3 linked regions of the Drosophila melanogaster genome follow. The protein of the gene in region 3 purifies or fractionates together with the protein of the main gene of each other region. This does not show direct contact. Each region holds a gene or a part of one and is shown on either strand. Other genes may lie near its edges. The genes, in order: Mtr3, Spt6 and Rrp4.

Region 1 (9,511 bases), on a different chromosome or scaffold from region 3:
CTTGTGGTAGAGTAATCGGAAATCGGATGGCAATGTTAAAGTAAACAATTTTAAAGACAGCATAGCGCAGCAAATCATAAAAATTATCACAGAACCGGCAAATGGTGAAATTAGGAAGAAGAAAAATGGGGAAGAACCAACGTTGGCTGACGTCACAAACGTGAGGGAAAAGACAGAGCGAATTAAGCATCCTCCTATCGATGTATCGAAGGATAACGGCAGCGAATCCAATTAGAATGAGCACCGAAGGACGGGGAGGGGAACGTGTTAAAATTAGACATTGAATTCTACTCCCACGCTATTTCTCTAGGATAACTTCCTCACGCACGCACACCGTATACATATACATACACACGCCCACAGTGCAACAGCGTCGAACGGAGAAGCAGAAGAGAGGCGAATGAGGGCAGGGACAGAAGAGAGAAGAGGCCTGTAGACAGAAGAGGAACAGCTGCGAACGAATTAACATAAATTGTATGCAAAATTGGGGTGGCTATGGATACTGCTGCTTTTTGTTACACAGCGGCGGCATATTGTTTATCAGTTTTCCTATGAACTACTACTACATTCCAGCAATTTCCTCGCGAGACGGGCACCTTCCCATCCCATCCCTTGGCATCGTCTCTTTTCCACACTCTACTTTTCTCCTTCTTCATCTTACTTGTGTGTTGGCATATTTTGATTAACTCGTTAAAAAGACTATACTTTAGTTGTTTTGCAGGCACTTCGGTAGGATTGCATTGGTAGCTATATTTTTGTTGTTGTTTTTAACTAAATTTAATTTAAACGCGTCGGGTTTCTGTGAGTTTTTTTTTATCATATACGTTGGAGCGACAGAGACGGGGCGACGGCGACGTTTGGCTGGAGCGCGCGTGCATAACACGCACACACACAGAGACGCAAGTACGCGAGAGAGTGGAGAAATCAATCAAGAGAGCACGTCGGCGAAGGGGGAGTGGAAAAAATCACATATGTATGTGCGTCAGTGGAAGTGCGACAAGATTTTCCACAATATTCCACGCATCTTTGTTTCGTTTCTTTAGATATATGCACATATTGCTTCGTTTTCTTTTTGCATTGCTTTCTTACACAATTTATAATATATATATGCATATTTTGTGGTAATTTCAGGTTTTTATTTTTTGCACACACTTTTCATCATTCTTTTTTCGCTTTTCCTTCAGTTGGATATATTACGCACTGGATTTGTGGCTTTACACTGGCAATCGGTAGGCGGTGGCGAGTAATGCACGTATTCCCCTTAATTAACAGTTTTCTCTACAATTAATAATGTAATCTCTTTAACAAAAACTCAGAAATCACGTCATGGCTGCCACGTCCAAGCAACAATGAATGTAAATGGTGGCAGATGAGGCCGTCTGGGCATTCTCGACTAGCTCCAAAAGGGGCACACTATTTTTCTGGTGATACCATTGCACAGCCGATGATAACACTGCATATACGGTAACACCACAATAAGTGTGAACTAAAATGAATTTTCCGTATATTACAATTGACACTTGACAATTCACAGGTAAAGTAAACATCTTAATTGCTAAAGAACTTAAGATAAAACTTAATTTTAAAGGATTTACAGAGTATTCCACTCAAAACTTTCGACCAAAACAACCATGTAAAACATATGTTTTGATGAGTGAGCAGGACGTCTATATATTGCCTGCATTCGCGAATGGAGGGAACACAAAAATGCAATAAAAAATATGTGTGGAATGGAGGAGGCGCAAAAGACCCCAAAAAAACGCGCCACACATGTACAAATTTCACCAATTGCTGTAATACAAATAGTTTATAACGAGGTACAGCAATGACAATGACCAATTAGGATAATAGGCAACAATAAACAATGGGAGGGGGACGCAGCACGCTGCGCGGCTTTGCGGCTCTTGAACATGACCACGGTTCTTAGCCTGACCGAGCGACGGTCGGACCGAGTTTTTTTCACGCCGACATTTGGCCGACTGAAACAATGCACTTACCCTGGAAATTATCGTCATTCTCTTCCTCCGATGCCATTGTAGCACTCGAATGCAACTTTTACACTGTTTGAGCACACGAAATTGTCTTAATTTCCACAACAAATAATTAAGCACACACAGACACGACGAGAAAAAAATAGTCAATTGTAAGCGGCTTCAACAAATATGGCGGAGCGGAGAGCGACAAAAAGTGAGAGAACTAGGGTTGCACCCCGATAAAAGAAAGCGAAACGGTCACACTGGCGACATGACAACCCTGACTTTTATGTTTTTTTAACGACCCTGTCCTAACGTGTTTCGGAGAATTTTTCACCAAAGACCAAAAACCTTGTGTATTGTTTTTGAATTGCAAATCGCTGATTTAAGCTCAAGGAATGTGCCAAGCAGTTGGTAAATAACATTTACTTTTTAGTCCGACCCATTTAATTGCGAATTATGTCGTCCATTATCACGCGCAAGGATGGCGACGACCAGAAATTGTCCAAAAAGCGCGCTGCCGCCTCAGATTCCAAAAGTGGTGGTGGAAGCGCCCTTGAAGCGCCCAAGAAATCCCGCTTCGATGTCCCGGAAAAGAATGGCGGCGGTGGTGAGAAGAAAGAAGAGGTCGCCGTGCCCGCCTCGCTGAGTTCCACGCAGATCAAGCTGATGATGGCCCATGCCCAGCGGGAGATCGAGGAACGCAAGCGGGCCCTGAGTAATCTAAGAGACAAGGATCCGCTGCTGGCGTCAGTTCCATCGATCGGAATGCCAGTTGCCTTAGCCACTCAAGCGCTGGCGAAGAAGCCCACGCCCGAGGACTCGGAGAAGGCCAGGAAGATTGCCGAGTTGCAGGCACAGATCAGGGCCAAGCTTACTGGCAATTTGGCTAGTTTGATTCAGCCCACTGCGGTAGCGGCCGCCGCTGCAGCTGCTGCTCAAGCGCAGGAGCGACCCAAACCCCTGATTCTGGACGATGAAGGACGCACTGTGGACAAGAGCGGACGTACCATTAATATTCCCACGGTGACACCTACATTGAAAGCCAACATACGCGCCAAGAAACGGGAGGTGTTCCAACGCCAAACGGGTTTGGGTGAACGGAGTGAATCGGGCACTTCGGCCCAGGAAGAAGCTATTAAGTACTTTGACGACCGCATAGCCCTGAAGCCCACTGTTAGAACCAAGAGGACGTTGAGATTCCACGAGCCCGGAAAGTTCCAGCAGCTGGCCGAACGAATGCGCATGAAAAGCCAGCTGGAGCGACTACAGAATGAGATTTCGCAAATAGCCCGGAAAACGGGCATCTCGTCGGCCACCAAACTGGCATTGATTGCCCCCAAGCAGGACATGCCGGACGATGTGCCTGCCATGGAGTGGTGGGACTCAGTTATACTGACCCAGGATCTGGAGACGGTAGACGACGCAAGCGGTAAGATAAGCATACGCCAAACAGCCATAACCAACCTTATAGAGCATCCCACACAAATGAAGCCGCCAAGTAAGTTGAAAGCTAGAACATGTCCCACAAGCAACTAACCACCTACTCCTTCAGATGAGCCCTTGAAACCAGTGTATCTGCCGGTTTTCCTCACAAAGAAAGAGCGCAAAAAGCTTCGTCGCCAGAACCGTCGCGAGGCCTGGAAGGAGGAGCAGGAGAAGATCCGACTGGGTTTGGTGGCCCCACCAGAGCCGAAACTGCGCATATCCAACCTGATGCGTGTGCTTGGCTCGGAGGCCGTACAAGATCCGACCAAAATGGAGCAGCATGTGCGCGACCAGATGGCCAAGCGGCAGAAGGCGCACGAAGATGCCAACAATGCGCGCAAGCTGACCAGCGAGCAGAAGAGCGAAAAGAAGCAGCGCAAGCTGAGGGAAGACACCAGCTGCGGTGTACATGTCAGCGTCTATCGCATACGAGATCTGCAGGACAACCAGAGCAAGAAATTCAAGGTGGAGACCAATGCCAAGCAGCTGCAGATGACCGGCAGCGTGGTGTTGTTCCGGGATTGCTGTGTGGTTGTCGTGGAGGGTGGGCCCAAGCAGCAGAAAAAGTATCGCAGGCTCATGCTAACGCGCATTAAGTGGGAGGAGGACAACGCCAAGGGCAATGACGGCCAGGACGTGCCGAACTCATGCGTACTCGTCTGGGAGGGGACTAGTCAGCGACGGCACTTTGGCGAGATCAAGTTTAAGATCTTTCCAATGGAAAAAATGGCCCGTGAGTTTTTTCAGAAGCACCAGGTCGAACACTACTGGGATCTGGCCTACTCCGGAGCCGTGCTTGAGGCCTCCACGGATCAGCAGTAGATAAAAGGCATTTTAAGAATTGCTAGATACACTACAGTTCTACAAATTCACTTTCGGAAAGATACAAGTCTGAATTAAAGTTTTGAAGCGCGCTACGCATTTGATGTTATTATTTTCGAAGCTATTCGGAACTTTGGAAGTGCAAAAATAACGAATAAAAGTTTTATCTGGACTCTAAATATTTGTAGTAATCATTTTTTAAGTGGTGGTTGTTGTTCAAATAGATCTGGGATTTATATTAGTATGATTTATTCTCAACCAACTACTGCCTCTTTACATAGGGATCCTCCCGGATGTTCGATTGTATAAACTCCTCTGGTCCTTGCTTCTTTAGCTTCTCGATTATTTCCTCCAAACGCTGATCTTCTAGAGCGGTCTCGGCTTTCTCGCGTAGATCTAGTTCGTGCTGCTCCTTCACCCGCTTCGTGAGCACGCCTTTGACTAGTTCTCTCAGGGACTTGTTAATGGCCAGGGTGTAATCCAGCAGCTTTACATAGGTGGCTGGACTGAGATATCCGCACTGCTGGCACTGGGCGATCTGTTCAAAGGTATCCATGCTGGCGGTAATGATCAGGCCGTGCTCCTGGGCGGATGATGGGCTGGTTGTGCTATCGGTGCTGCTGTTGCGATGCTTCCAGAGCAGCTCCTCAACCTTGGCACTGGGATTCAGGAAGACGTGATCCCGATAGATACAAGCTGTGGAGGCCGTAATTAAGTCGTAAGTGGAAATGCCGCACTCCACCAAAGCGACTCCGCAGCAATTGATGGCAGTGCTGAGCAGGCAGCCGTCATCGTCGAGAATAAGCACCCGTATGTCCAGCTGAAAGTTAAGGAACTCCGTGCGGCACACCACCGGCTCCATGGCCTTGGTCAGCATGCTGCTCAGGTGGCGTTCCCGTTCCGGCACCGAATCTAGATCCCCTGTGCTGAAGGCCGCAAAATTCACATAGCAATTCAGAACACCCATGTTCATTCTGCGTGCGCTGGCGCGGATTAGCTCCTTTGGCGGGGCCACAATGGCCAGAACCTTGGTGTTACCATACTCCATGTAGGCGGAACCTCTCACTGTGGTCAACACACCGGCGCGGATGACTGTAAGTCACAAGAGGTATGAGAAATTGAAATACAAATAAGGATGTGCACTTCTAACAGGTGTTTCTGGGTGCCAGTTGTGTTGGCTCCCTCGACGGTTTGTCTAGACTCTCAAAGAAATCCTCGCTTTCCTGCGGAGTTGTGTACGGCTCTTCCTCAATGGAGGCTCCATCGAGTAGGGTGTTCTTCGTCTGGTTCACCGCTAGCATATTTATATTATATCTTTTGATTGAATATAAAAATAAACAAACTGAGTTCACATGTGGTCTAAAGACTTTTAAGTTTTCGATTAAAATACAAATCTGGTATTTTTGTATATTTCGATATTTTATACCGATTCTGTATCGTTTCGTGGGTTATCGTATTTGAATGAAAACCTTCAAAGAACCTTAATAATAAGAACCTAAAATAAGTCTTCTTATTAGTGCTAATTGTGCTAATTATTTATAAAGTCTAAATAATGTTTTGATTCCTTCTGATAATTGATAACTTAGTAGTATTTTCTTTGTTACTAAGAGAAAAAAGAGCTTAAATATAATCGCAGAAAAATCGATTGCCGAAGTGTAAAACAACGCTTAAGATAACGCTAATCCACTCGGTACAGACTGAAGAGATTTCTGGGAATATGGCCGACAAGAAGCACTGCCATGGATGGCCTTGCATCAGGCCTGGAATAGTGTGTCGCGGAATAGAATACTGATGGTAGGATATATGCCCGCGTTATAGATTTTACTTTTGAATTTCAGTGAAGAGTTGCGAGGCTAGCTTTAGTATTATCTTAAAAGAAAATTCAAGACAAGTAAAAGCCATGCGGAATAGCCATTATTTCGGAGTTACCCATTCATAGTTTGAAACCCATATCTCTAATATTATATACACCTGACGACTGATTCCTTTTTTTGCAGGACCAAAAGTTCTGCCATTGCTGCTGATATGAAAGTCAAGAGAGAAAAAAATTAGAACCACAATACCTCGGATCAAGAGGATTTCTCAAATTCACAGCTTTTGGGGTCCGATGACGGAGACAGTTTTGTAGGAGATGCCGAGAATTCATCTAATGAATCAGTGTCAGTGAAATAATGTTTTTCCTAAACTCACGAAGATATTACGCAGGATGAATGTTGGAACTAGAGAGATCCATTAACATCCTAACCAACCATCAACCAATTTCTGAAGAAATCAGATTAGATCAGTTAATTTCAAGAGACCCATTTTTGCATATTGGGACTCGCTACTTCACCAAATACTTCCGCAGCAAAAGCAGACAAGAGTTTTTTGGCCAGAAAATAACGCATTGTGTCATAAGTAGCCCAACATGTTTGAAAATATAAACGATCTCCGTTGATATCAAGGAATTACAGCTAATACAACTGCAAAGGCCGGAAGTTAAATGGATATTTAAAATATCTGCATATCACAACATTTTTAAATATATACACATACACAAATATAGTTAGCTTTTTCTTTCACTTTCTAAACCTTTCAATTTTGATTGGCAAGGCCCCTAAAAATCGATAAGGTGAAAGTCACTGCCATCACTATTTGAACGTTACCAGCTCGTGGTAACGGTAGCTGATTATTCTGGTATTTTAAACAGATTAGCGCGGCATAGCCTGGCGTTCGCCGCGCGGTCACACTGCAAAAAGCGCTGTGTAATTCTGCTGTTTCAACAACGAAAAAGAAGGAACAAAGCCGCATAAACCGCATTACAATCGAAGAAAACGTAGTGCCAATTAAATCCCTTAAGTCCGACAAGCTAGGAAAGAAATCATGACGGGCGAGACCAAGCTGGAGAAGAAGCCGCTGAAGCCGGCGGCATCCGAAGGCGATGCCAAGGATCCGAAGGCCAAGAAGGATGAAAAGAAGGACGGCAAGGACAAGGAGCAGCAGCCGGAGCTCTCCGACGAGGACCAGCAGCTGCAGGAGGAGCTGGAGCTGCTGGTGCAGCACTTGCAGGAGCCGGATGCCAAGCTCTACCAGCCGACGCTGGAGAGTATGGCCAAATTGATCAGAGCCTCCACGACGTCGATGACCTCGGTGCCCAAGCCTTTGAAGTTCATGCGCCCGCACTACGAAACCATGAAGACGGTGTACAAGCACATGCCCAATGAGCAGGCTCGCCAGTTGTGCGCCGACATCATCTCAGTGCTCTCGATGACCATGGGCAGCGGCAAGGATTGCCTGGCCTACCGATTCCTCTGCGATCGCAAGCAGCGCATCGGGGACTGGGGCCATGAGTATGTGCGTCATTTGTCTGGCGAAATTTCGGCCCACTATCACGATACAACGGGAGACTTTCGTGTACAGCTCATCGAACTGGTCAAGCAGATCATCCCGTACAATATGGAGCACAATGCCGAGGCTGATGCCTGCGATCTGCTGATCGAAATCGATCACTTGCACCTGCTGAGCGACTTTGTGGACGAGTCGGCCTATCCCCGCGTCTGTCTCTATCTGCAGTCCTGCTATCCGTATGTTCCCGACCCGGACAACACCATTATCCTGGAAACCGCGCTCCAGCTGTCGCGCAAGTTCAACCAGTACACACAGGCCATGCGACTGGCGTTGATGCTCAACGATATGGACAAGATCGGTGAGATCTTCAAGGAGCCCAAGGAGCCGGCCATGCAGAAGCAGCTGGCCTTTATGCTGGCCCGCCAACAGATTTGCCTGGAGCTGGATGAATTGGTGCCGGACTACGATGATCTCATGGAGATCATGTCGAATGCTAATCTGAACAAGCATTTCCTCAATCTGGCTCGCGAACTGGACATCATGGAGCCCAAAACGCCTGAGGACATTTACAAGTCGCATTTGGACAACTCGCGCTCCCGCTTTGCATCCATCCAGGTAGACTCTGCCAAGCAAAATCTGGCCGCTAGCTTTGTAAATGGTTTTGTTAACGCCGGTTTCGGTGTGGACAAGTTGCTGTCGGAAGACGGAAACAAATGGTTGTACAAGAACAAGGAGCACGGCATGCTCTCGGCCACCGCATCGCTGGGTTTGATACTTCTGTGGGATGTGGATGGTGGTCTGACCATGATCGATAAGTACTTGTACTCCACCGATGACAACATCAAGTCCGGCGCTTTGCTGGCTTGCGGAATCGTCAACTGCGGCATCCGTAACGAAGTCGATCCGGCTCATGCTCTGCTCTCCGATTATATCGACAACCAGAACTCCTGCATGCGCGTTGGCGCCATCCTCGGTCTGGGCATCGCCTACGCTGGCTCCAATCGCTCCATTGTGATCGACACCCTGAAGACGGTCTTCTCGTTTGGCAGCAACAACAAGAGTTCGGCCAGCGTGGAGATATTGGGTATTACGGCTCTGTCGCTGGGTCTCATCAGTGTTGGTTCGTGCAATTCGGAGATCACCGAGATCTTGCTGCAGACGATTATGGGTCTGACCAAGGCCGATCTGAAGGACACCTACACGAGGTTCCTGTTTTTGGGTCTGGGTCTGCTTTACTTGGGCCGCCAAAAGTCCACCGAAGCCGTGATGATGACCTTGGAGGTTTTGGAAGAGCCGTACCGCAGCATGGCCACTACCATGGTGGACATTTGCGCATACGCTGGTACTGGCAACGTCCTCAAGATCCAACAGCTGCTCCACATCTGCTCCGATCACTACGAGACGTCCAGTGCCGATGACGAGAAGGAAAAGAGCAAGAAGGACAAGGGCAAGGATAAGGTAATGCCGCAGTTCGCCATTCGTTTTTTAGTTCCTTCAGCTAATTTCTTCAATTCGTTAACTTTGTAGGAAAAGGAGAAGGAGAAAGAGAAGGAAAAGGAACGCGAGAAGGACTTGTCGGCCACCCAATCGATCGCCGTGCTGGGAATTGCCCTGATCGCCATGGGCGAGGACATTGGTGCCGAAATGGCATACCGCTCGTTTGGAAACCTGCTGCGCTATTGCGAGCCAGCCATTCGTCGGGCCGTACCACTGGCATTGGGCCTGATATCCGCCTCCAATCCCAAGCTGAACATCATCGACACGCTGAGCAAGTTCTCGCACGATAGCGACGCCGAGGTGGCCCACAATGCGATCTTCGCCATGGGCTTGGTGGGCGCCGGCACGAATAACGCTCGGCTGGCCTCCATGCTACGCCAGTTGGCGCAGTACCATTCTAAGGA
Region 2 (13,379 bases), on a different chromosome or scaffold from region 3:
TGTTGGAAAGAGGGTCAGGCAACTTATCGATAACTCCGCTCTCTCGCTCACGAGAGCGAGCGAGATAAAAGCAGTGCACATATGCACTACGCATTTTGTTTTCAATGCCCAATTTTGCGTATTGCAGCTAGCCAATTGATTGGCCTTCATGTGTTAAATACTCTTGTCAATGCGAAATCTCATTTCCAATAGACTAGACAAAAGAAACGGTCACTTTAAGTGGCAGAGAGCGAAAACAAAGTAACCTACCGCCCGAGAGTGAGCGAGAGAGCAGGCGACGACTTTCCAGTCAGCTGCCTATAAATACCAGCGTGGGGCTGCGAAACGAATCATAAACTGTGAAAAAGTCGTAGAGAGCGGACGTCCGAGCAAGTAAAATAAAAGCAAGTTTTTGAATATTTCAAAAAGTGCAGACCAACAGTAAAGAAATAAATTAACTTTTGTGTGCGAAACAAGAAAATAAGGTGAGTTCAGTTTGGCAATTGCTTAATAGTTTTTCTTAGTTGCATTCAAAATGGCGATGCAGCAAGCAGAAAACGGTGCTTTCCATGCTTCTATCTATGTGTGTGTGTGTGTGTGTGTGTGTGTGTGTGTGTGTGTATGCCCAGTTCCAGGGGATTTTTTTTAACGAAGTTAGAGATTAGTCACCAAAACTAAATTTGCCATTTCATGGCGAAATAATGCAAGCTGTGAAAACATTAACGAAAAAACCAATAATGTTTTCTGTATGTGTATGCTAAAATACTTTTCTGGGTCACGGGAATTGGGTCACTACGCAGAAAATCAATTTCCTTCCACTTTCCATTACTCAAGCCAACTTTTTCCCTTTTTCATTTCTCCACTCAGGCAATATGCAAATTTTCGTTAAGACCCTCACTGGCAAGACCATCACTTTGGAGGTTGAGCCATCCGATACCATTGAGAACGTTAAGGCCAAGATCCAGGACAAGGAGGGAATCCCCCCAGATCAGCAGCGTTTGATCTTCGCCGGAAAGCAGCTGGAGGACGGACGCACTCTGTCCGACTACAACATCCAGAAGGAGTCGACCCTTCACTTGGTCCTGCGTCTGCGTGGTGGCATGCAGATCTTTGTGAAGACCCTCACTGGCAAGACCATCACTTTGGAGGTCGAGCCATCCGATACCATTGAGAACGTTAAGGCAAAGATCCAGGACAAGGAGGGAATCCCCCCAGATCAGCAGCGTTTGATCTTCGCCGGAAAGCAGCTGGAGGACGGACGCACTCTGTCCGACTACAACATCCAGAAGGAGTCGACCCTTCACTTGGTCCTGCGTCTGCGTGGTGGCATGCAGATCTTTGTTAAGACCCTCACTGGCAAGACCATCACCTTGGAGGTCGAGCCATCCGATACCATTGAGAACGTTAAGGCCAAGATCCAGGACAAGGAGGGAATCCCCCCAGATCAGCAGCGTTTGATTTTCGCCGGAAAGCAGCTGGAGGACGGACGCACTCTGTCCGACTACAACATCCAGAAGGAGTCGACCCTTCACTTGGTCTTGCGTCTGCGTGGTGGCATGCAGATCTTCGTTAAGACCCTCACTGGCAAGACCATCACCTTGGAGGTCGAGCCATCCGATACCATTGAGAACGTTAAGGCCAAGATCCAGGACAAGGAGGGAATCCCCCCAGATCAGCAGCGTTTGATTTTCGCCGGAAAGCAGCTGGAGGACGGACGCACTTTGTCCGACTACAACATCCAGAAGGAGTCGACCCTTCACTTGGTCTTGCGTCTGCGTGGTGGCATGCAGATCTTCGTTAAGACCCTCACTGGCAAGACCATCACCTTGGAGGTCGAGCCATCCGATACCATTGAGAACGTTAAGGCCAAGATCCAGGACAAGGAGGGAATCCCCCCAGATCAGCAGCGTTTGATTTTCGCCGGAAAGCAGCTGGAGGACGGACGTACTCTGTCCGACTACAACATCCAGAAGGAGTCGACTCTTCACTTGGTCCTGCGTCTGCGTGGTGGCATGCAGATCTTCGTTAAGACCCTCACTGGCAAGACCATCACTTTGGAGGTCGAGCCATCCGATACCATTGAGAACGTTAAGGCCAAGATCCAGGACAAGGAGGGAATCCCCCCAGATCAGCAGCGTTTGATTTTCGCCGGAAAGCAGCTGGAGGACGGACGCACTCTGTCCGACTACAACATCCAGAAGGAGTCGACCCTTCACTTGGTCTTGCGTCTGCGTGGTGGCATGCAGATCTTCGTTAAGACCCTCACTGGCAAGACCATCACCTTGGAGGTCGAGCCATCCGATACCATTGAGAACGTTAAGGCCAAGATCCAGGACAAGGAGGGAATCCCCCCAGATCAGCAGCGTTTGATTTTCGCCGGAAAGCAGCTCGAGGACGGACGCACTCTGTCCGACTACAACATCCAGAAGGAGTCGACCCTTCACTTGGTCCTGCGTCTGCGTGGTGGCGCCATCTAGATTTTTTCACCCTTATAAAAATTGAAGTTAGTTAGTTGTGCCACAGGGCATAACTCAAGAATTCATACTAAGTTTTAGTAAATTGGTTTATTCAAAGGCACAAAATAATCAATCACAATAATTATTGGTATTCGAAGAATAAAATTTTCAATTTGTGTGTTCAATGTAATACTCTATGTAGTTTTTATCTGTGTTTCCCAGGGTTTTTAATTTTGTGGGGGATTCTTGATAGAAAGTTGCAATAAACATTGGATGGCGTTGGAGTGGTGGATTTAATTTGAATATTTAAATTTGTAATACTCTATTGTATTTTACTGGAATTGTACCACAGGTACATTGGAATTATTGCTTAGGTACCTTATGTGGTATATTTGGGGTATTTTGTGTGACCAGCTGACTCCAACGAAAAGTGGAGCCGGCCACACTGGAATAGTCCGAAAACCTGTTAGCTTGCGTTATTTAGTTAAATTTGCGGAGAAGAGCAGGCAGGCGCAGTCAGGCAAGATGAGCAAGGAAATCCGTTTGGCCACCGTCAACGAACACAACAAAGCCACGGATCTGTGGGTGGTCATCGACAACAAGGTCTACGATGTGACCAAGTTCCGTCTCGAGGCAAGTGGCGATGCAGATTGTTGGTTTTAGGGGGGGGTGGCGAATCCATCTAATTCGATGCCCTTATCTCCAGCATCCCGGTGGCGAGGAATCCCTGGTGGATGAGGCCGGTCGCGATGCCACCAAGGCCTTCAATGACGTGGGTCACAGCTCGGAGGCGAGGTTAGAGAGTCCATCTTATAGCCAGTGCGCCTGGATCACCTGATTCACATTTCTTCCCCACTTGCCTTTTCAGAGAGATGTTGAAGAAATACTACATTGGTGACCTGGCTGCTGCGGACATCAAGAAGAAAAGCCCAATTAGGTGAGAATCCTGTCCAGCAAGTGCATGCAAAGACCCAACCAAGCCAAAATGCCATATCATCATGTAAATAAAGAAAGCCCTGCGGATTTCCCTTCTCCGCTCCCACACGGATTGATCTCCTTATCTCGCTAGAACACCAGTATTCCTGATAAGGCATTTCATCATCATCATTTCGTACGCTCCACTTTCCTTAATGCATGAAGCTCCTATTCCGACCACAACCGGTTTCGCATGAGCATGGCCTGCGTTTCAATCAATAAGTACAATTAGCCAACTCTTATGTAATCCATTAATTGCCTCGAAGCCCCCAAAGTTTCACGCTTCACGTGTCCTGAAAGTCTCTATTTCGTACACTTTTTGGTGTACTACTTTGATACCCTTTGATACGATTGGATACCCTGAAGAAGATAATGATGATACAGAAGTGTTCCTTAAATTATATCAATTATTTATATTCCCATATAGAGTATCAACTTTTTCTTTACCAACCGCTAACAAAGCCACAATACTTAATATTTAATGAATCTAATGAATCTCAACTTGCATGTATGATATTTGCTCCATTCAAGATTTAATTCCTTCTCAAGCACGAAAATAAGGTTCTACAAAAGCTAGTTGGACTTGTAAGTTCTAACCACTGACCTGTGTACATATATTACCCATCATGATTAACCCAAAGCACACGTCAAGCAACTGGAATTATGTACATATATAAATGTGATAATCTAGAATACCAACAATTTGCACGCTGTAATTGGTCACTCTTTGGTTTTGTGAATGGCACCCCACCTTGACTTGCGTTTTTATTTTGATTCTTGGTTCTGTGCCTTGGTAAAGTGCCACGCCTACTGATGCCGCCGCCACCCCCAAGCAATGCTGCATCCTAAGTTAAATCAACCCCTCTAGAAATGCCTGCAAAACCGTGTAATCCTAGCTAGCTAACCAAAGTGCACCCAGTTTTGTTGTTGTGACACCCAGTCGGTCGGAGTGCCTTATCCTGACCATGATACTCCCATTGATTTAAACCGCCTTTCATATTCTCTATTCCATGCAACAGCTGCCGTCATGTGGCACTGGCCCTGGGCGCCGCCTTCATCGGCATCTCGCTGGTCTATGTGATCCGACGCGGTGTGGCCAGAAACTAGTCTGCGGCCGGACTGCATTACGAGATTCCAGATATATTCCCCCAATTTGGGAACATCAATTTCCTCACACATTTGACACGAAATAAATTGTACAAATTGCTTAAATTACACAACTCGGGCGTTTTATTCATAAAAGCTGCGGATAAAACCAATCTTGAATTCCCATTAGTAAGAAGAGCTGGCGGTATATTTCTGGTCAGAAAAAATTGAAATTTATTTTTCATTCTTCCGTCGTCACAAACCTGATTGCTCCCCGGCCCACCGGCGTCTCAGCTCCTGCCCAGCCGTTCTACTCCTACTCCCCCACCGCCAGGTGATGCACCCACTCCAACGGCAGGCGTTCCGCAATTTTCAATTATACATAGATAATATATATTTATATATGTGGTGTGAACTGCGGATCAGTTATGGACTTGACTTAAACCTAAATATCGTTGAGGATCAATGCGGAATCGCACTCCAAAGTACTAAGATTAGTGCAACTGGATCTTCGCCAGCTGCGCGTGCATGAATTATATATAATTGTAGACTTTTCTGTTCTGTTCGGTTCTGTTCTCGTTTTTGTAGTATAGTGTATGTATATAGTAGCATATGGTGTGTGCATAGTGCATCCTTTGCAGCTTGTGTTGGTTTTCGGTTTCCATTCACTTCGCCGCCCCTAGTTCTCGTCGTAGAGGGGCGTGGCATCGCCCAGATTCATGGAGTGCGGCGAGGCGTTGGTGCGCGGCGTACTGCGCACAGACGCCTTCGAGGACATACCCCGATTATGACCGCCTCCGGTGCTGTAATCATTGACAGGCGTCGATCCATAGCCACCTCCTCCGCCGCCACCGGTGCCACGTCCCAGTGACATTGTAATGCCCATGTTCATGCTCATGCCCATATGGGGTTGCTGCTGCGAGTGATGATGCTGCTGCTGGGCGTGATACGACTGATGTGACTGATGCTGCTGCGGTCTGCGTCTTGCCCAGGCATCGTTGGCCAGCTGCCAGTCGAGGTTCTCTTTGGCACGTTGCTGGTGATGCGGCTGCATGCTGTAGGCATTGGAACCACCACCACCACCAACGCCGCCACCGCCTCCTCCTCCCATATCGTGATACCTGGGCGTGCTGCCCGTTCCGGAACTGCTGCCGTAGTGATGCCTCTGACTGCTCGATGATTGCGAGCTGGGACTGGGCACATTGTGACCATAGCGAGGCGTCTGTGAGGCATGCGGCGTGTAGGGCGTCATGAACGGAGTCTGTCCACTGGGCGTGTATGGCGTATTGATGGCGCCAAACGACGGCGTCGATGAGCTGCCATAGTGGGAGGAAGATACTCCAGCCCCTGGAGCAGAACTGCCCGACGTGCCGTAGCCAGTGATGGATTGCGTAATGGAGTAGGCGCTGGAACCGCCACCGCCGACGGCACTGCTGATGCCACTGCGCGGCGTTCCACCAGTCACGCTGCCAGTGACGCTGTAGGGCGCCTGGGGGCCCAAGGAGGTCTGGGATGACGACGAGATCGTCGGCGGCGGACGCATCAAGTGCAGTGGCGTTAAGTTGGACGCCGAGGCGCTGGCCGGCGTGGCCGTTGGATCCAGCCAGTGTTCCTTAAACCAACGCAGCAGACTGTTAACCGTATCGAAAATCTGGCCACGGAAACGATAGCCCTCCGGCATGACCGTCACATACTCGTGACGCACCTTCGTCTTGGGCAGATAGGACAGCAGGAACTTGCCCGGCATGGCGCGTGAGGCCGTAAAAAAGTAGTGTATCTTCTTCGGATCATTTGCCTTCTCCTCGCGCAGCAACTTTTCCATGACATCCCGTTCATTTTCATCGCCGGTCACCATGTTTGGCTTGTAGTACTTGTACTGTATCAGTTCGCGGGCAGCCAAGGCCATCGGCATGATGTGGCGGGCGATGATCTCGTCCAGATCCTCGAACTCCTCGGTGCCGATCCACAGACTTCTGCCCAGGCTGAAATCGTTCTCTTTACCCTCCTCGCGCACATCGATGTGCTGGAAGATGTCGTCGGCCACCTTCCAGGTGGCTGTCAGATGGTCCTTGGACTTGCTGCTCGGACGCAGGGCCACCTCGCCCTGATCGGCCTCCGCTAGCATGGCCACCACCTCCGCGTACGACTTGTTGAAGAAGCTGGGATGGGCGATTACGCGACGCGCGTAAATTTTGCGCTTCAGAGCCCTGGCCTTGGCATCGCTCACTTTCCGATTGTCCTGCTCCTCAGTCACATAATCATAGTAGTTGTCGCGACGCGGCCGCCACTCATTGTTCACATCCTTAAGATCAGCGGTCCTCGAAGAGCATTCGACTGAGAACCGGTCAATGTCTATCTTAATGATGCGAACATGAATCATCTGTGAGACGCGCACACGTTCTTCGGGATTGCGAACCTGTCTATCGGACAAGTTCTTGATGTGTATAAAGCCAGGCAGGCCGTTCTCCAGACGCACACGCACACCAGATGGCTGGCCAGGGCACGCGTTCGCGTCAAAGTGATTCCACACCTCGGACAGCTCTGGGAAGTCGTCCTTGTGGCAGAAGGGGCACTGCCAGCTTTCGTTGGAATCTAGACGCACCGGATTTGCGCTGTCTAGCTGATCGCCCTGCGGCCGACGGTAGGTGAAACCGGTGACCATGGCCGTGACGCACTTGCCCACATAAAACGAGTCGGGCGTCTCCTTGGTCAGCATATCGAAGAGCTCCTCCGCACTGGGCTTTGTGTACGGAGTGCGGTAGTCCTTGTACAGGCAGCTCAACTCGTTCCTTATGTCGTACAAGGTTATGCTCTTGCTGCCGAATCCCTGGCGCTCCAGTTCCACAGCGAATGCGTCCAGATCGAGATCCTTAAGGCGCTCTGGCGACTCGAGAATTTCCTCAAGGGCACCGGCCGGATTGGTCTCCTCGTCGTCGTACTCCATGGCATCGATGGCCATCTTTCTGGCCCACTCGTACGTTTCTGGATGCACACGCGACCCGTCCAGCACCTCGACATACGCCTCTGTGCTGTCGCCCAGCGATGAGGTATCGATCTTAATGAAACCGCTGCAGTTGATAAAGACCCTGGGCCCCAGATGACACACGGTGACCAGCTGGGTGCGGTTCTCCAACCGCTGGTTGCTCTGCTTAAGAAGTTTAAGTAAAGCCTGACCCTTGCGCGGACCCAAGCCACAGATGTACTGCAGCAGGTTGATGGTCCGTGAGTTCTGCACCATCAGGTTAATGTCCAGACCCACCTCGCTCGTTCGATTGATAAACTGCAGGCTGAGCTGCTCCAGCAGCTGTTCGCGCGGCACACGCTCCTGTAGCGGATGGTAGCGCAGGCAGAGAATCTCGTCGTCCGCATCACACAGCTGTGAGTATTCCACTAGCGGATCCTGCATCTTGCGGGCCAGCGAAGCAGCCTGCTTCAGCAGAGGAGGATACTCCTTAAAGTCAGACTCGCCCTTCTTCGAGTTGGCATAGATCTTGGCCAGCTCGTTGTCGATTATCTCCACCTCGATGGGCGGAAATTGTTCGGAGGTCTCGAGTTCATGCAGAATCTCCTTAATGTCTGCCTGGATGTTCTGGGCATCGCGCGATTCCGCTCCGATGACAACAATGTGTGGCTTCTTCATTTTGATAAAGTCACTCAGCTTTCGAAGGTCGGCCAACTTCTGGGCCTTCTCCTCAAGGTTGTAAGAATTCTTGCGCTTCAGAATGTTCGGCAGTCGCAGGTAGTCGGAGATGTCGCCCTCCACGGTAGTCACCGCACAGAAAGCGGCCACTGAGTGATCGGGATCGTAGGCCAGACCCAGCACCCGTATGCCCCTCAGCGTGCTCCACTCCTCGTAGCCAAAGTCGGGGGGCAGTTGCGGTTTATAGGGTGCCACCTTTAGCCACTTATACAGCTTACCCGTGCAGGAACGCAGCACAAATTGCTGAGCCTCCTCGTGCAGAGTTGAGCGCAGCTCCTTGATCAGATCCGGAATGACCCACTTCTGCAGCGCCAGCTGTACGCATTCCGCCCGCAGCTTATTCCACTCCTGCACGTGCTTGGCAAACTGATCCAGCTGGTACAGGGCCTTGGACTCTTCCACATAGTCACCGGGTGTTCCGTTGGCACACGCATTGCCCTCGAACTCCTCGAGGAACGTTATCTCCAGCAGCTTCTCCTCCTCGGCCATCATTAGCTTTATGAATTGATCGCCAAATAGATCGCTTACCGGCTTCTTGGCCACGTACTTCATCGAATACACCGGCGAATTCTCATCGATCAGCACCATGCCATTCTTGGTGGGCCGTATGTTAATCCTAGCTCTGTCGAAATACACCTCACGCATGGTCTTGCGCAGCAGAGGCTCTTGTGCCAGCTGTCGGGCCACAACGTATTTTGCGGCATGGATAACCTCATCCGTGGTCATGAAGCGCGGCGACAAATATTGCTTGGCCAGCTCTGTGGGACCGATGCTTTCCTGGGTGATCTCATTGCGCTGGTAATTGTCGCGCAGATTTTCGGCATACTGCTCCGGCGTGAGACCAAAGTGTTTGGCAAAGCCGCAGATGCCCGCCTTGCGGAATACCGCATAGGGACTGCTGTTGGACGCCTGCTTTAGTTGGTAATCGATCAGCTCGGGATCGTCATCGTCTTCCGGCTCTGGTACAACTATCGCCTCGGCCGCATCATCACCGTTCTCAGCGGCGGCTGCCTGGCGACGCGCCTTGGCCTCGCGACGCTCCTGTATAGCTTTTCGTCGCTGCTCCGCCTGCATGCGGGGCAGCTCATGCGAATAGTTCAGCAGAAAGTACATGTGCACGTCCTTTAGCTCCTCCATCGACTGTACGTCGGCGAGGCGCTCGAAATCGCTGTCCAGGATGAGGCGAACATCATCCGGTACGGGTTGATCTGTGTCGGCGCATAGCGTGTCCAGCTGGAACTGACGCATCTTTTCGAAAAGCACCTTTAGCTTGCGCTTTCGCTCGTTTAGCTGACACCAGATCCCATCGTAGTAGTAAACCTTCCAGAGATCGTCGATATTAAGCTCTGGCTTCACATACTCCTTGCGATAGAAGGCTATAAAGGGCACCTCCAACTGCTGGTTGCGTATAAATTCTAGCGTCTGCTTAATCTTGTTAACGGTTGTCGGTGGTTTGCGCATTTTCTCGCGGCTCTCCGGCTTTTCCTGTTCCGAAACAGTGTGCTTGCAGAAGGCATATTTGTAGATCCATTCAGCCTCGAGGTCCAGCTCGTCTGATCCCTCGGGCACCGGGGTTACGGGCACCTCTCGCAGCTGCATTCTTTCTGGGATGTCTGTCTTGCGAATCTCGTTGTCCATATCGGTGAAATGACCACGCTTGAGCTCGCTGGGCTCGTATATGTCGAAGATTGTCTTCTTGACCACCTTCTTTTTGAGCGCTTTCTTCTTCTTGACGCGCGTATCATCGCCGACGCCCAGATCCTCATCGTACTCATCTCCTTCCGAGTCATCTTCGTAGTCGTCTTCCTCGTACTTTGAGAAGTCGTCATAGTCGAAGTCTACGCCAAAGATGTCCTGACCCTCTTGAAGTGATCTGTGGTTGGATTATATTAATCGTATCTATTGATATCTAAACTTTATTATAGTTTGTATACTTACGCGTCTGTAAAGATGGGGCGCCGTTTCTTCTTCTTCTCGGCTATGGGACGCCCATTATCGTCCACAATGAAGTCATCTGCGTCCGACTCCGTATCCACGTCGTCGTAGTCGTCCGCCTCCCTGTGACTGCGCTCGCTGCGATGACCAATGCTCTGTAGGATCAGGGGCAATCAGTTGGACACTGTGCATTAATTGGTGGTCAGGGATTACTAGTGGCATACCTCATCGTTCTCGTCGAACAACTGCTCGGCAATCTGCTCACGCACCAGACCCTCGTCCACGTGCTGCTCCTCGCCATCGCTTTCGTTGTCGTGGATGCGACGCAGACGCTTGAACCGCTTCTACAAGGGAAAACATAATTTCAAACAATATATTTGAGGAGATAGAAGCCCCAATCCCTCAGCTATGTTATTCTTTGTTAGTTAAGCTTCGAAATTGGAGCCACAATTGGAGTTTAAAAAGTACATAGTTCTTCCCTGAAGGGAACACCTACCCGTCTCTCGACTTTGACGCCCAGATTCTCCTCGATAAGATCGTAGTCGTCGTCCTCCAGTCGATCGTCCAGATCGTCGTCCTCGTGCTTTTTGCGCTTCTTGCCGCTGCCGACGCCATCGGAATCGTAACCACTGCCATCGTCCTCCTCGATGGGATTGTCGTCGATCAGATCTTTGAGCTCTTCGCGCAGCCGTTCCTCGTCGTCTACGGAATAGGGCAATAAGAATATCGGTTTACCTTTTACCTTCATTGTAGCCGCAGATATACATATGCAACTGAAAACTGTTTTTAAAGCTTAAATTTAAGTAATTCACCCGGTTTTGAGAAAGACCTACATTTGATAAATTACCTAGATTTCGATATAGATAAGCCCTAACCATTGATTATTCCAGCTCCATCTATTGAACTAATTCTCCCTCCCTGCTTTGATTTGCAATTTCTTGGAATACGCCGCGTTCTTCCAATTCGCCGCACTTGTTTTATTTACTGGAACGAGCGCAGCTGTTTGTTGTTGTTGCTGCTGCTATTGCTACTGCTGATGCTGATATTTGATGGCCACGGTAGCACGGTAAAAACACAAGACCTAACCTCAAAGTTGTAAACAAAAGAAGTTGCAAGCGTGTGGCATTGGCCAGTTATAGGTGCCTTTATCCCGGATATGGACTGTTCCGATCGATGGATGGTGAGAGGGGTGAAAAACCCGCCAGAGATCGCCACATACGTATGTATGTATGTATGTATTTGTACGCGCCTTCAGCGGCTCCAGTGGAAAAACTCACCTTCTTCTTCTTCGCTACTATCGGAGACGGCCGCCTTCAGTTTCTTGAGTCTCTTGCGCTCGTTGACGTCCAATTCTTCCTCCTCCTGCGGGAAAAACGAAGAAAAGCCATTTGGTTAATTCAATATATATGTAGGCACATATGTATGTACACACACGCAAGGCGCAACGCACACCGCACACATAACGACGCACGAACGGTACGCGCTTCTAGAAATAGTGTTTTTGGGGTTCCGCAGACACCTACCTCCGATTCCTCGGCCTCGGAGTCCAGAAATTCGGCCATAATATAATGGAATAAAGCTTAACTTAATAATAAAGTGCGTATTAATGCAGAGAAACGAAGAGTTTGTGAGCGTTTCTTCCTCTTCTCTTCTTCTTTATTTCTCATCGCATTGCACAAAAGTTGGTATTAAAATACTAGCTAAATACTAAATACCACGAACAGTTTTCTACTGTTTACAGTACAGTTTGCTGTTAGCTTACAGCAGTGTTCTCGCTGCCAGCCCTGGTTTGCATTGCAGAACTACAGTGGATCCTTCCTATAACCTATGGTTAGTTATCCGTTTTCATGTGCTGACAACAATTGGACAAGAATTTTGCACACATACTTGTATTGATAAGCGGGAAAATTCCCCTATATGGGAACACACATATGCCCTTTGGTCTCAACGATGAAGTTTGCTAATTTCCATTATAGTCCATGGCATACTTCCTTTACATAGTTGACTTTTATGAGTTCTTACCGAAAAACCAACACTAATTGTAGCGCATAATAATTTCTCTCAAAAACTAGTGGTAAACGTAATGAACAATAATAATAATAAGCAATAAACAAAATTCGCAAACTTGTGAATTAAAAGTTCTTTAAAATTATTAGTGCATTTGGTATTTTGTGTAGCTTCTAAAGCCTTATTTTTGCTGGCTTTCCTTGTCTTCCCGTACACGGGCACACTTGTCGCGCTGCAGTTACATTTACTGCTCCGCCGTCTCTGGGCACACTGTATTGTTGTTGCTCGACGAGGAAATACTATTAGTATTTTTTTTCGTTCATCCTGAAAGTTTAAGTGGACGAAACGAGCGGCGGCCGACTCGACACCGAGCCGAAATTCAGAAAGTCTATTGCTTTGGTCGAGAACAGATTGTCAGGGAACTTCACTTCATTTACGCTCCCAAACAAACGGCAAAGGTAGCATTTCCAAAAACGAATTAAATCGAAATCCAAATAGAAATAGAAGTAGAATTAGAAAAGCCATAAGCGCAAGTTAACGAGACAAGACAACAACAATTCGATTCGGCGGTTTTTGTTTTTTTGCCAGTGTGTGTTTGTGCTACGCTGTGAGTGTGCATTAGTGTCCGGTGCTCCTGTTGTTGTTCTTGTTGCTGTTGTTGTCGCTTATTGTTGTTCTTGCTGTTATTGTTGCTGTTGTTCGCAAGGCACAATAACACAGGCTCATACAATTGCGAATATTTAGAAAAAGCAAAGCATATACATATGTGACAACAAACGCCAAGGAAAAACTGGAAAGCTAAGCAAAGGAAAACCAAGAAAAAGAAAACAAACAATTGAGAAATTAAGAAGCGGCAACTGAAGCAGCAACATGGACATATTGAATGAGTTCAGCAATGTATTCTGGAGTACGCACATTTGGCTGCCGCCGAACACAACCTGGGCGGACATTGCGCCCGGCTCGCGTCCAGATGTGGTGCACGCCAACTACAAGGACCTCATATGGCCCATTCCATTCGCCGCTGTTGTCATGCTGGTCCGCTACACGCTGGAGCGGTAAGTTTTCCACGTCCATTTTCCCCCCTCCGCACTCTTCCCAACCAACTGACTGACTCCCTTTCCATTCTCGCCATTCCCGGCAACATGATTCCATTCCGCCTCTTTCTCTAACCCCATTCATACGGCTTTCCCTCGCTCTCTCCCGCTCTTTCTCGCTCTCCTTACCATTGAGTAAGCCCACCG
Region 3 (9,025 bases):
CGGCATGATGGCATACTGATCCTGCTGGAGTTCCCTTCGCTTTCGGTTCGCTCTTCGACTGGAGTCCTCCAAGGGGTACTCCTTAGCCAGAGTGTTAGTCTGGTCGTAGAGCTTTATGGGCACCAGTTCGGAACCGTGGGTGGCCTGCATCTGTAGACTGCTTATATTAAAGATGGACTTGATCCCCGCGGATCCCGTTACTGTATAAGCTATGGGTACATCAACGTACACAGTGAGCTCATCTATGATGCTGGGCCCATGACTTTTGAACTCGTAGCTGTTGTTAACTTCCGCGGAGTAGGGATACTCCTTGAGAGCGATATGTCCATCTATGGGACCACTGAAATACCAAGTTGATTTAGTCGTATCCGCCCAATATCTAATGATTTTCCATTCAATCCTACCCACTGGCGTCGATCTCGGCGTATTCCCTTAGGCTAATCGTAGTGCTCATCGTGTTATCCTTCGGATTCTGGTCCATTCCCGCAGAGGATACGGCTGCCTCGATGGTAAGTGATTGACCACTGAGCTGGGTGACATCGAAGATGATGGTTAGGGATTCGCTGTCACCTCTGGCCAGCGCTCGTCCGCCGTTCAGATCGCACAGCATGACCTCGTGCCGCACCCTGCAGTTCCCAGGAACCTTGGCGAAGGGCAGACGGGCGGAGCTGGTCACATTGAACTGGGCCACGTAGGCGGGCTCTCCGCTGTTGGTAATCTCGTAACTGAAACTGAGGACTTCCAAGGAGCCAAAGATGAAACTAGAACTGAGAAACACGATTAGATTAGATGGAATCACACACGAATGATCGAGATTTCATCTTACTTCACATCCTTGCTGCTCAGCTGCAAGTCAGATACACACACATGGGCGGCACATCCCGTCATAAAGCTGAGCGTCCCCGTGGCATACTTGGGCTCCAGGGGATCGACAACGGCGCAGGATTCGCAGAATGCTTCGTGAGAATGGGGAATCTTCTTGGCCAGTTCGTAGTGCAGCTCGAGATCAATGGGCGTGAATATGCCACCGGTGTAGTGCACCCCCACCGAAAAGTTCCGGCAACTCCCGCTCAATCCGGCCTGCGCCTGGAATGACACCTCATTGGTGCGCATGGGCGCAAACGATACCCGCTGCAGGAGCTCATCTATGGTCATCCGGAAAGTCAGCTCCTGCTGCTGCATCTGCCTCGCCTTGGAAGTAGTTTCCAGTCGGTAGCAGGCGGTCACCGTAATCGTTTCCTGCTCCGGCCTGATCGCGCGCGATTCCGAGCGCACAGTCGCATGGATTTTGACCACCGGATATGCGCGATACAGATACACTGCCTCGGCACCGGGCGCTCCAATCGCCAGGTCATTGAATCCGTTGCCATCTATGTCCGATCCGCGGGAGAGGCCTTGTCCAAACATGTGGGCTCCGTATGGACCCGGCTCCCGCGAAGGAGCATCCAGTCGCTGGCTCGGCTCATCCCGCAATCCGTGCTCGCTGCCCAGGAAAATGAATACCGCTCCGTTTCCCGCGAAGGGCGCTCCAACGGCCAAGTCTACATGTGAACTAATGAGATACTATATCGAATACCCAGAGGATTACTCACCGTTGTATCCGTCGTGGTTGATATCGCCCACTTTAGAAAGCGAACTTCCGAAACGGGCACCACTGCTCAATGGCAAGCGAATTATCTTTTTCTCGAATTTAAACTGAAGCGGGAAATAGAAGCAGTCTGACTAATGGCGATTATAGGGAATTCGGTTAACTCACCAATCCCTTGTTGATGAACACGTATATGGCACCCACGTCATAGGAATCCCCTAGAGCGTTGAGTGGCGCGGATACGACCACATCCGTTAGTCCATCGCCATTGAGATCTTCCGCCACCACGGAGTAACCGAAGTACTCGCCCAACTGCTCGCCGTGAAACACATGCAGCTTACGGACTATCTCTCCCACAACGTCGAAAATGTATGCCTTGCCGGTATTCAGGACAGAGCTCGGCGCGGTGGTCACGTAGAGCAGACTGGTCCGGTTATTGCTGCTAAAGTATCCGGAGCTCAGGGCGTAACCGACGTATGTGAAGTGATTCTTTACCCAATCCCACGAATCGAGCATCTTGACTGCATAGCTTCCCTGGGCAGCCAAATCTTCTCCGCGGTGCACTAACACCGATCCCTTCCAGCTACGGACTCCCGGGGCGCCGATCAGGAACCCCGAGTTGTCGTCCGTCACATGGGCACTGAGCCCCAGCTCCAGCATGAAATGTTCTTCTGCTTGCGAAGGGATTAGACTGATAGTCCTCACGTCGCTCAGCGGAGGAGTGTCTGCCACTGTGTCCCGAACCCAGTAGCAAATTCCTCTCATTTGGCCATAGTTCTTGTTCTTCGGCACGAAAAACCGAGGTGCGCACACGAGCAGCTTGTCCGTATCCTTGGTGCCGCCATCCATAGAGCCGCCCAGCCACTGGAATTGCTTATTTAGCTTGTCGTTTAGGACGTAATGCGAGCAGGATCCACTGGCCAGGGGGCATCTGTAGACAGCTCCAGTCTCATTAATGCTGCCTTGCGATTCCAAGGTGGACTGAGCACGCGGAGCTCCCACGAAGATGCTGCATTGATCACGAAGTTTTTTGTTAGAAGGAACTTCATGGAATTTCAAGTGCAATCACAGTCTGGGATCGATAGCTTCCCTAGGATAAGATCTCACCTGGTTGGACGGATGACGAGCGAGTATCCAAAGTAGGAGCTTCGCACTTGGATCATTCGGGTTTTTAGGTGCTTTGGAGCATCTATCACTCGATTCGGCAATGGCGAAAAGTTCATTGCATTGCTCTGGTATTTGAGAGCCAAAAAAATTAGGAACAGAAGCCGATGCATTTTCTACTTCAAGTTTTTAGTCTTATTCTAGAAAATATTATTCCGGATGGGAATGTGCCTGCGAGCTCTGAGGCAATCCAACTGAAACAAGATGATGAATGTTTCAGAAGTCTAATGGAGCTTAGCTAACTTAAAGAAGACAGATAACTTATCATTGAAATGCCAGAGCAATTATTTCAAAGCTGTTCTTTAAAATTATAATTTGTATGCTGCTTATCTAAGGACAAACTCAAAAATGCTTTCGACATATATATTATACACATTAACAATAAATGTTATTTCATAAAACTAAGGAAACTAAAAACGTGATTTTAACAGTTTTTTTTAATCCCCTTTACTTTTATTTTATTTCGATTGTATGTATTTTTTGTTAGGCAATAGAATTTGCAAGTCTTCGTTACATTTACTTTCGAATTTCAACAAAATTGGTTTTTAAAATTGCAATTCGCCGCAACCGATAGGCACTGTAGTTGCGGCGAAGAAATGGAACTTGAACCGGAACCAGCAACGAACCCCGAACCCGAACCGGTTCCGCGTGGCGCGTGTTTTGCCAGCTGTTGCTCTTTTTGCCTCGCTCAAAATTAAATTTTTGTTTACCTCGCTTTGGCCAAACTGAGATGTCCACCAACGCGGCGATAGATCTGGCCCTGGACCGGGTGGACTGGCGCGACCTGGCCGCGCAGACGGAGGAACAGCCGAGGGTGTATACGCCGGGGGAAGTGCTGATGCCGGAGGCGGGATTCATGCGCGGCCACGGAACCTTCGTCGAGGACGAGAACATCAAGTCCTCGGTGGCCGGGGTGATCCAGAAGGTCAACAAGCTGATCTCGGTGCGCCCGCTTAAGAGTCGCTATGTGGGCGAGATCGGGGACGTGGTGGTGGCCCGCGTCAGCGAGGTGCAACAGAAGCGCTGGCGAGTGGACACCAATTCCCGGCTCGACTCCATCCTACTGCTCTCCTCGGTGAATCTGCCAGGCGGAGAACTACGACGGAGATCGGCGGAGGACGAGCAGATGATGCGACGATACTTGGACGAGGGCGATCTCATCTCTGCCGAGGTCCAGGTGGGTACTTCCTAACTTGCTGGTACTGGAGTAACTATATAATCTTTCTTCTCTGGCCACCAGAACATCTTTGAGGAGGGCTCCCTTTCGCTGTACACGCGCAGTTTGAAGTATGGAAAACTATCGCAGGGCATCCTGGTCAAGGTGTTCCCCGCTCTCGTCAAGCGCCGCAAGATGCACTTCCACAACCTGCCCTGCGGCGCCTCCGTGATCCTGGGCAACAATGGCTACATCTGGATATCGCCGACCAAGGGCCAGGAGGAGGAAGGCGGCGAGGGAGGATTCGCTCAGAACCTGAACGAGCATGTGCCGCGCGCGGATCGGGAGGTGATCGCCCGGCTGAGGAACTCCATCCTCGCGCTGGCCAAGTGCAAGCTGATGATTTACGACACCAGCATCCAGTACGCCTACGAGGAGTCCCTGCGCTACGAGGCCCACGAGCTGCTCCAGCAGAACGCCATCTACGACATCGGCCAGCAGACGCAGGCTCGTCTGAGGGACGCGGACGAGTAGTATATATGCATATACATATATTTTATACACAAGTAGCTTAAATAGAGGTTAATGTATTTTCTACCGTCAAATGAAAAATTAACATTTCAATGGGTTCGAAATTGGTGGATTTCAAAATTGCATCAGTGGGCTAAAATCTTAAATACACTGAAAACTATCGCAAGCTTTCTGTTTAATAAAAATGTTCATTTGATATTTCCTGAATTTGTATGATAAATGTTGGTTTCCTAATAAAAAGTCAGGTTTTCTAAAATACACAAACTCTTTAAAAAAGAAAACATTTATTGCATATAAGTTAGGTTTTATTGGCGTTTAAAAAATACATACATTTTCATAGCACTTTAGTTTTAGTTAAAAGTTTCGACTTAAAATTACTTTTAGTTAAAAAGCAGCTAAAATATCGATATTTTACCAGGACGCGCACCGAGTGGCAGCACACATTAGCGATCCGGCAACGCCCTGGCGGTTTGTGCAAATGAAAAGTGATTCTGCCTGGATGATAAAGGGACTCGGCATAAATTTTTTATTTTTATGTCATCCCATATTAGTGTGACGTTGTATTTGTGACAAATACTTGATTGTGTAAAATAAAAACAAAAAGTTTCGCTAGCAAAATTCACACAGAAACATCGATATCTGCATAGTGCACATCTCTAAGCGACGCCAAGCGATTGTTTTCCTCTCATTTGTAATCTGTACGCACTTTGCAAGTGAAATTCCGCGTTTCTACCGCCGCCCGGAACGAATTACCGCCAATTGCCGATGGCCGCGAAACTGGAGGTGCGCGAGGCCATGCTGACCGAGAAGAGGGTCTGCCGCTTCTGTCTGACCGAGCAGAAGCTGGCCTCGATTTTCGAGGAGAATCCGCGGGTGAAAACAACCGCCAATCTGCCGCTGCAGATTATGGCCATCACGGCGATCGAGGTAAGCGGCTCCATCCATGGGTTCTGGCTTGCACTAACCAGCGCCACGCATAACTTGGCTAAGAAGCCGCATCGCGGGTTTCCGCATCGACTGCGAGGCGTCTTGGCTAAGTTTCCCCGCTCCAAACTGCCCCGCTTCCCTTTCCCAGCCGAATGTCCTTGAAAAGTGCGACCAGGTTACAGCCCAATTAGTTGGCTAATCATTGGGCTTTCCCTTTTTCCTCTTGTGCAAAGAAAAATGAAAATTTCTGCGATTTGGGGCAACTGTACTGCGCCACACGCACACTAGTGCGTCAACAGCTGATCGCCCTGACAGCTGTCAGTTGTTTTTGGCGCTAAATTCAAATCGAGATCATATTTAAATGCATTAATAGTTCCTTCGATACTTATATTTACGCAAAAATCATCATTTGGTTAATTTTATTAATTTCCTAAATTATAAAATTAGGAAATAAATATAAAATTTAGGAAATTAATAAAATTAGAGTGAGAAAAATCTTAATTAATCACTCTTAATAATGCTAATTTGAATTCCACTAAAGTTTCGTACAATTTCACTGATTCAGCCAACCAAGTCTTCATTGTTATCTTTTATTTCCCATATCAACGTACTCAATCTGGCCCAGACAGCTCCTGTCTTCAAACAAAGTTGCTTAGATCGAAATTACCCATCTACGTTCAATTGGGGAGATACCTTGCTATGTTTTTAATTCATTTTTATTCATATCAAATATAAATGTTTGCGTGTACATAAAAGTATGTATGTATGTATAAATCTTCATTGTATTATCTTATCTCAAATTTGTGGGTTTTCTATTGGCAAGGTCTCGCTTATGCATACGGAAGTCATCTAGTGGGTAAATGGGTAACGAATTTCGTCAATGATAAGGCCGAAATGGGCATGGGAAAGGCAGGGGAATGAATGAAAGGGAGTCGGGTGCTTCAATATCCATCGGGATAATCGCACGCGTCAGCTAAAACTAAACTTGAAGTGAATTGGAATCCAACGTGAATGATTGCGGGCGATGGTTGTACAACCTCTGTTGAAAGTTCTTCTTCGAAGGGAGATCTCTTCCTAGCCAGCCTTATTGCCGTTCGGCTTGTCGCCGAAGCGCAGTATGCGCGTCAGCATGGAGGTGAGGCACGGTATTTGCTTCTGGCGATCCATCATCGGTGTGGCGGGCACGTTCGACTCAAAGTCTAGGGCTACGCGCTGGTTAACGAATGTAAGCAGGGTGAGCAGGTCGTACTTTTTGCCATTGGCGTTCAGCTCGCGGATCAGCGATTGCATGTACCAGGAGCCATTGTTGATGTTGCGCCAGGAGAAGTAGCCTAACAGGACGAGATTGCTAGTGAAATTCACTAAAATAGTTACCTAATCATATTCCTTACCCGGAATGGTCGAGTAGGAGAAGAGAAAGTCGGCGTGTATGGGTATCTTGTAGCTCGTCGAGGACTCCCCGTCCGTCTCGGTAACGCCCTTCTCCAGAGTGATGCCTCCGTCCAAGCGATCGCCCTGGCAGGCTTGGATGAAGAACAGCTTCGGCTTGCCCGCCAGCGAGGGGCAGAAGGTGGCAGTGAAGTAGTGCCAGATGTTGTCCAGCTTGTACTGCGTATCCTTGGCGTACAGGTAGCCGTGCTCCCCGTGCGAGAGTATGGCCACCGCAAGGCAGTCGTTGTCCGTGTGGTCCAACTCGGCGGCCTTCCCCACGTGCTTCAGGATGTCCCTCAACTTGCAGTCCTTGTGCACGGACACCGCGAATCCCAGGTTTTCAAAGGCCTTTTTCAGCTCTTGGGCATCGACATTTGTTCCGGTGCGGCTCTTCAGCGAGGGTATGTCGAAGAATTCGTGGTTGAAGATCAGCGCAACTCCGCGGTGCTTGTGACTCATGTTGTATTCGCTTGCATATCGTTCCACGGGCATTCGAGCCACAAACTTGTTGGCCGGCAAGGGGCTGGGGAAAAAGAAATCAGAATTATAATAGCCATTTGGGAAGCAGCATGATAAGATAAGGTAATCGGCGAAATAATCGATGATTGGGTATTTATTTATGTAATTATTTTCAAATATATTTGTGAATAAGACTAAATAGAACAATAGAATTAAAGTCAAGTGCTTTCAAACTTTGTGACTTCAGCCATTTTAACAACATTATAAAGACAGATTGACACATTGATTTTAAATGTTGGCAATAGACAGTATAAATAATATAAAAATAATAGATTGTGGAATGAAAATGGAATAAATAAAAAAAAAAGAGCTTTATATGCTGCATTTGAAACTAGGATATAGCAGTTATGCCAGTACTTGCATTGATAACAAAACACAGAAACATAAAGAGAGAGATGGGAGAGGGAGAGAGCGAGGCACATGGACTCACCTCGCTGCAGTTGCACCACCAACAACAAGAGACTCCGGCGTACAGCCCTTGGCATCGGTATTATCAGCCATTATAAAGCTGCCCCGATTTTCCGATCCATTTGGGCTGCGAATGCCTACTCCGTAGTTTCTGGTTACGCACTCGTCGGTCATCTTGCGCCCCTTTTCTTGCTTAAGTTCTTGTTTTGATTGTTTGCGTTTCTCCTTGTGTTTCCTCTTGCCTTTTGTTCGCTCCCTCCTGCTCCTCCCTCGCTCACGCGCTGCTCTTTCCTTCCTTTTCTCTCTCCGCAGTTGTTGCGCCCTTTTTGGTCTGATTCTTGTTTTATTCTGACACTGCTTCTGTTTTCTATTGCTCTGCGTTGGCCAAACTTTGCGCAGCGCAGCTGTTTTGCGCTTCTCAGCCAGCTTTTGTCGGCTTTCGATCGAGCGAATGTCCTTTTATGGCTCACAGTCGGACGTGTTTAATCAATCAATTAACGGAGGTTAAGCGTGCTCTGAGCGGCGAAAACAAACTGCGATTGCATGTAGTCGTGTGTATGCACTTGCCGCCAAGCGGCGATGGCCGCTCGTCGATAGCACTAATCATCGATTGGTGGCCATCGATTAATTTGTAGAGGGTGTTCTGGTCCTCGGCGCCTTTGTTTAAATTTAAACTCTAACATTATATTGTTCATTTTAAGGGAAAGAGACATTTATGGCGTTTAATTTATTATGTAGCGAAAAACATATAGGGGTGTTCCACGAATATTACCTTATTATTTGGCTTAAGCACGGACTTCCCCGAATAAATGTAGCTTCCTAGTCACTCACACATTTATCTAATCTAACATTAAAAACAGGTCTACGCCGGCGACGGAATGCCGGGGCACATCTGTCTGGAGTGCCGCCTCCTCTTCGAGCACTGCTACCGCTTCAAGCAGATGTGCAAGCGGGCGGAGACCCTCCTGCGCCAGTATCCGCTCACGGGTAACTGGCCATCGCCGCTGGAGAAGCCCCGTGCGCCCATGACGATGGTGGCTTCCAAGAAGTTGTTGGTCGTGCCAGCAAAGACAGCCGAGCCAAGCGAAACGCCCAAAAAGCTGCTGAACACAATGGCCAAATCCAGTAGTCAGGTGATCATCGAGGACGTCCAGGTGCTGGAGAGCGCCATGGTGACCCCCAGGACGGTAGCCGGTTCCTCTCCAGTGCCACGTCGTTCGCACGCCTATGAGCTGAAGGTGGATAACAACCAGGAGCTGTCCATGGACGATGTGCAGAGCATGCTGGAGGATATGGCCAGT

The links.
Region 1: the proteins of Rrp4 (region 3) and Mtr3 purify together in Drosophila melanogaster (affinity purification with western blotting; 2 studies listed by BioGRID, with this or other methods). This does not show direct contact.
Region 2: the proteins of Rrp4 (region 3) and Spt6 purify together in Drosophila melanogaster (affinity purification with western blotting; one study listed by BioGRID). This does not show direct contact.

The regions. Positions count from the first base shown.
Region 1 is NT_037436.4:19,908,046-19,917,556, forward strand, and holds Mtr3 (Mtr3), read right to left. Parts: upstream 5,671-9,511; 5' UTR 5,585-5,670; coding exon 5,434-5,584; intron 5,376-5,433; coding exon 4,546-5,375; 3' UTR 4,360-4,545; downstream 1-4,359. Other genes in the region: Mi-2, read right to left, coding at 1,998-2,034; Prp3 (precursor RNA processing 3), read left to right, coding at 2,433-3,474, 3,529-4,283; Rpn1 (regulatory particle non-ATPase 1), read left to right, coding at 7,146-9,068, 9,138-9,511.
Region 2 is NC_004354.4:6,266,221-6,279,599, reverse strand, and holds Spt6 (Spt6), read right to left. Parts: upstream 11,804-13,379; 5' UTR 11,694-11,803; coding exon 11,655-11,693; intron 11,494-11,654; coding exon 11,409-11,493; intron 10,834-11,408; coding exon 10,628-10,833; intron 10,476-10,627; coding exon 10,356-10,475; intron 10,287-10,355; coding exon 10,135-10,286; intron 10,070-10,134; coding exon 5,176-10,069; 3' UTR 4,616-5,175; downstream 1-4,615. Other genes in the region: Ubi-p5E (Ubiquitin-5E), read left to right, coding at 852-2,456; CG3566 (uncharacterized protein), read left to right, coding at 2,961-3,068, 3,142-3,230, 3,304-3,372, 4,430-4,517; schlank, read left to right, coding at 13,009-13,193. UniProt on the Drosophila melanogaster protein: Histone H3-H4 chaperone that plays a role in maintenance of chromatin structure during RNA polymerase II transcription elongation.
Region 3 is NT_033778.4:23,550,596-23,559,620, reverse strand, and holds Rrp4 (Rrp4), read left to right. Parts: upstream 1-3,403; 5' UTR 3,404-3,482; coding exon 3,483-3,929; intron 3,930-3,992; coding exon 3,993-4,442; 3' UTR 4,443-4,603; downstream 4,604-9,025. Other genes in the region: ItgaPS5 (integrin alphaPS5 subunit), read right to left, coding at 1-340, 405-767, 827-1,541, 1,593-1,695, 1,757-2,597, 2,696-2,865; Dcp-1 (death caspase-1), read right to left, coding at 6,441-6,697, 6,758-7,320, 7,747-7,898; pita, read left to right, coding at 5,205-5,366, 8,585-9,025.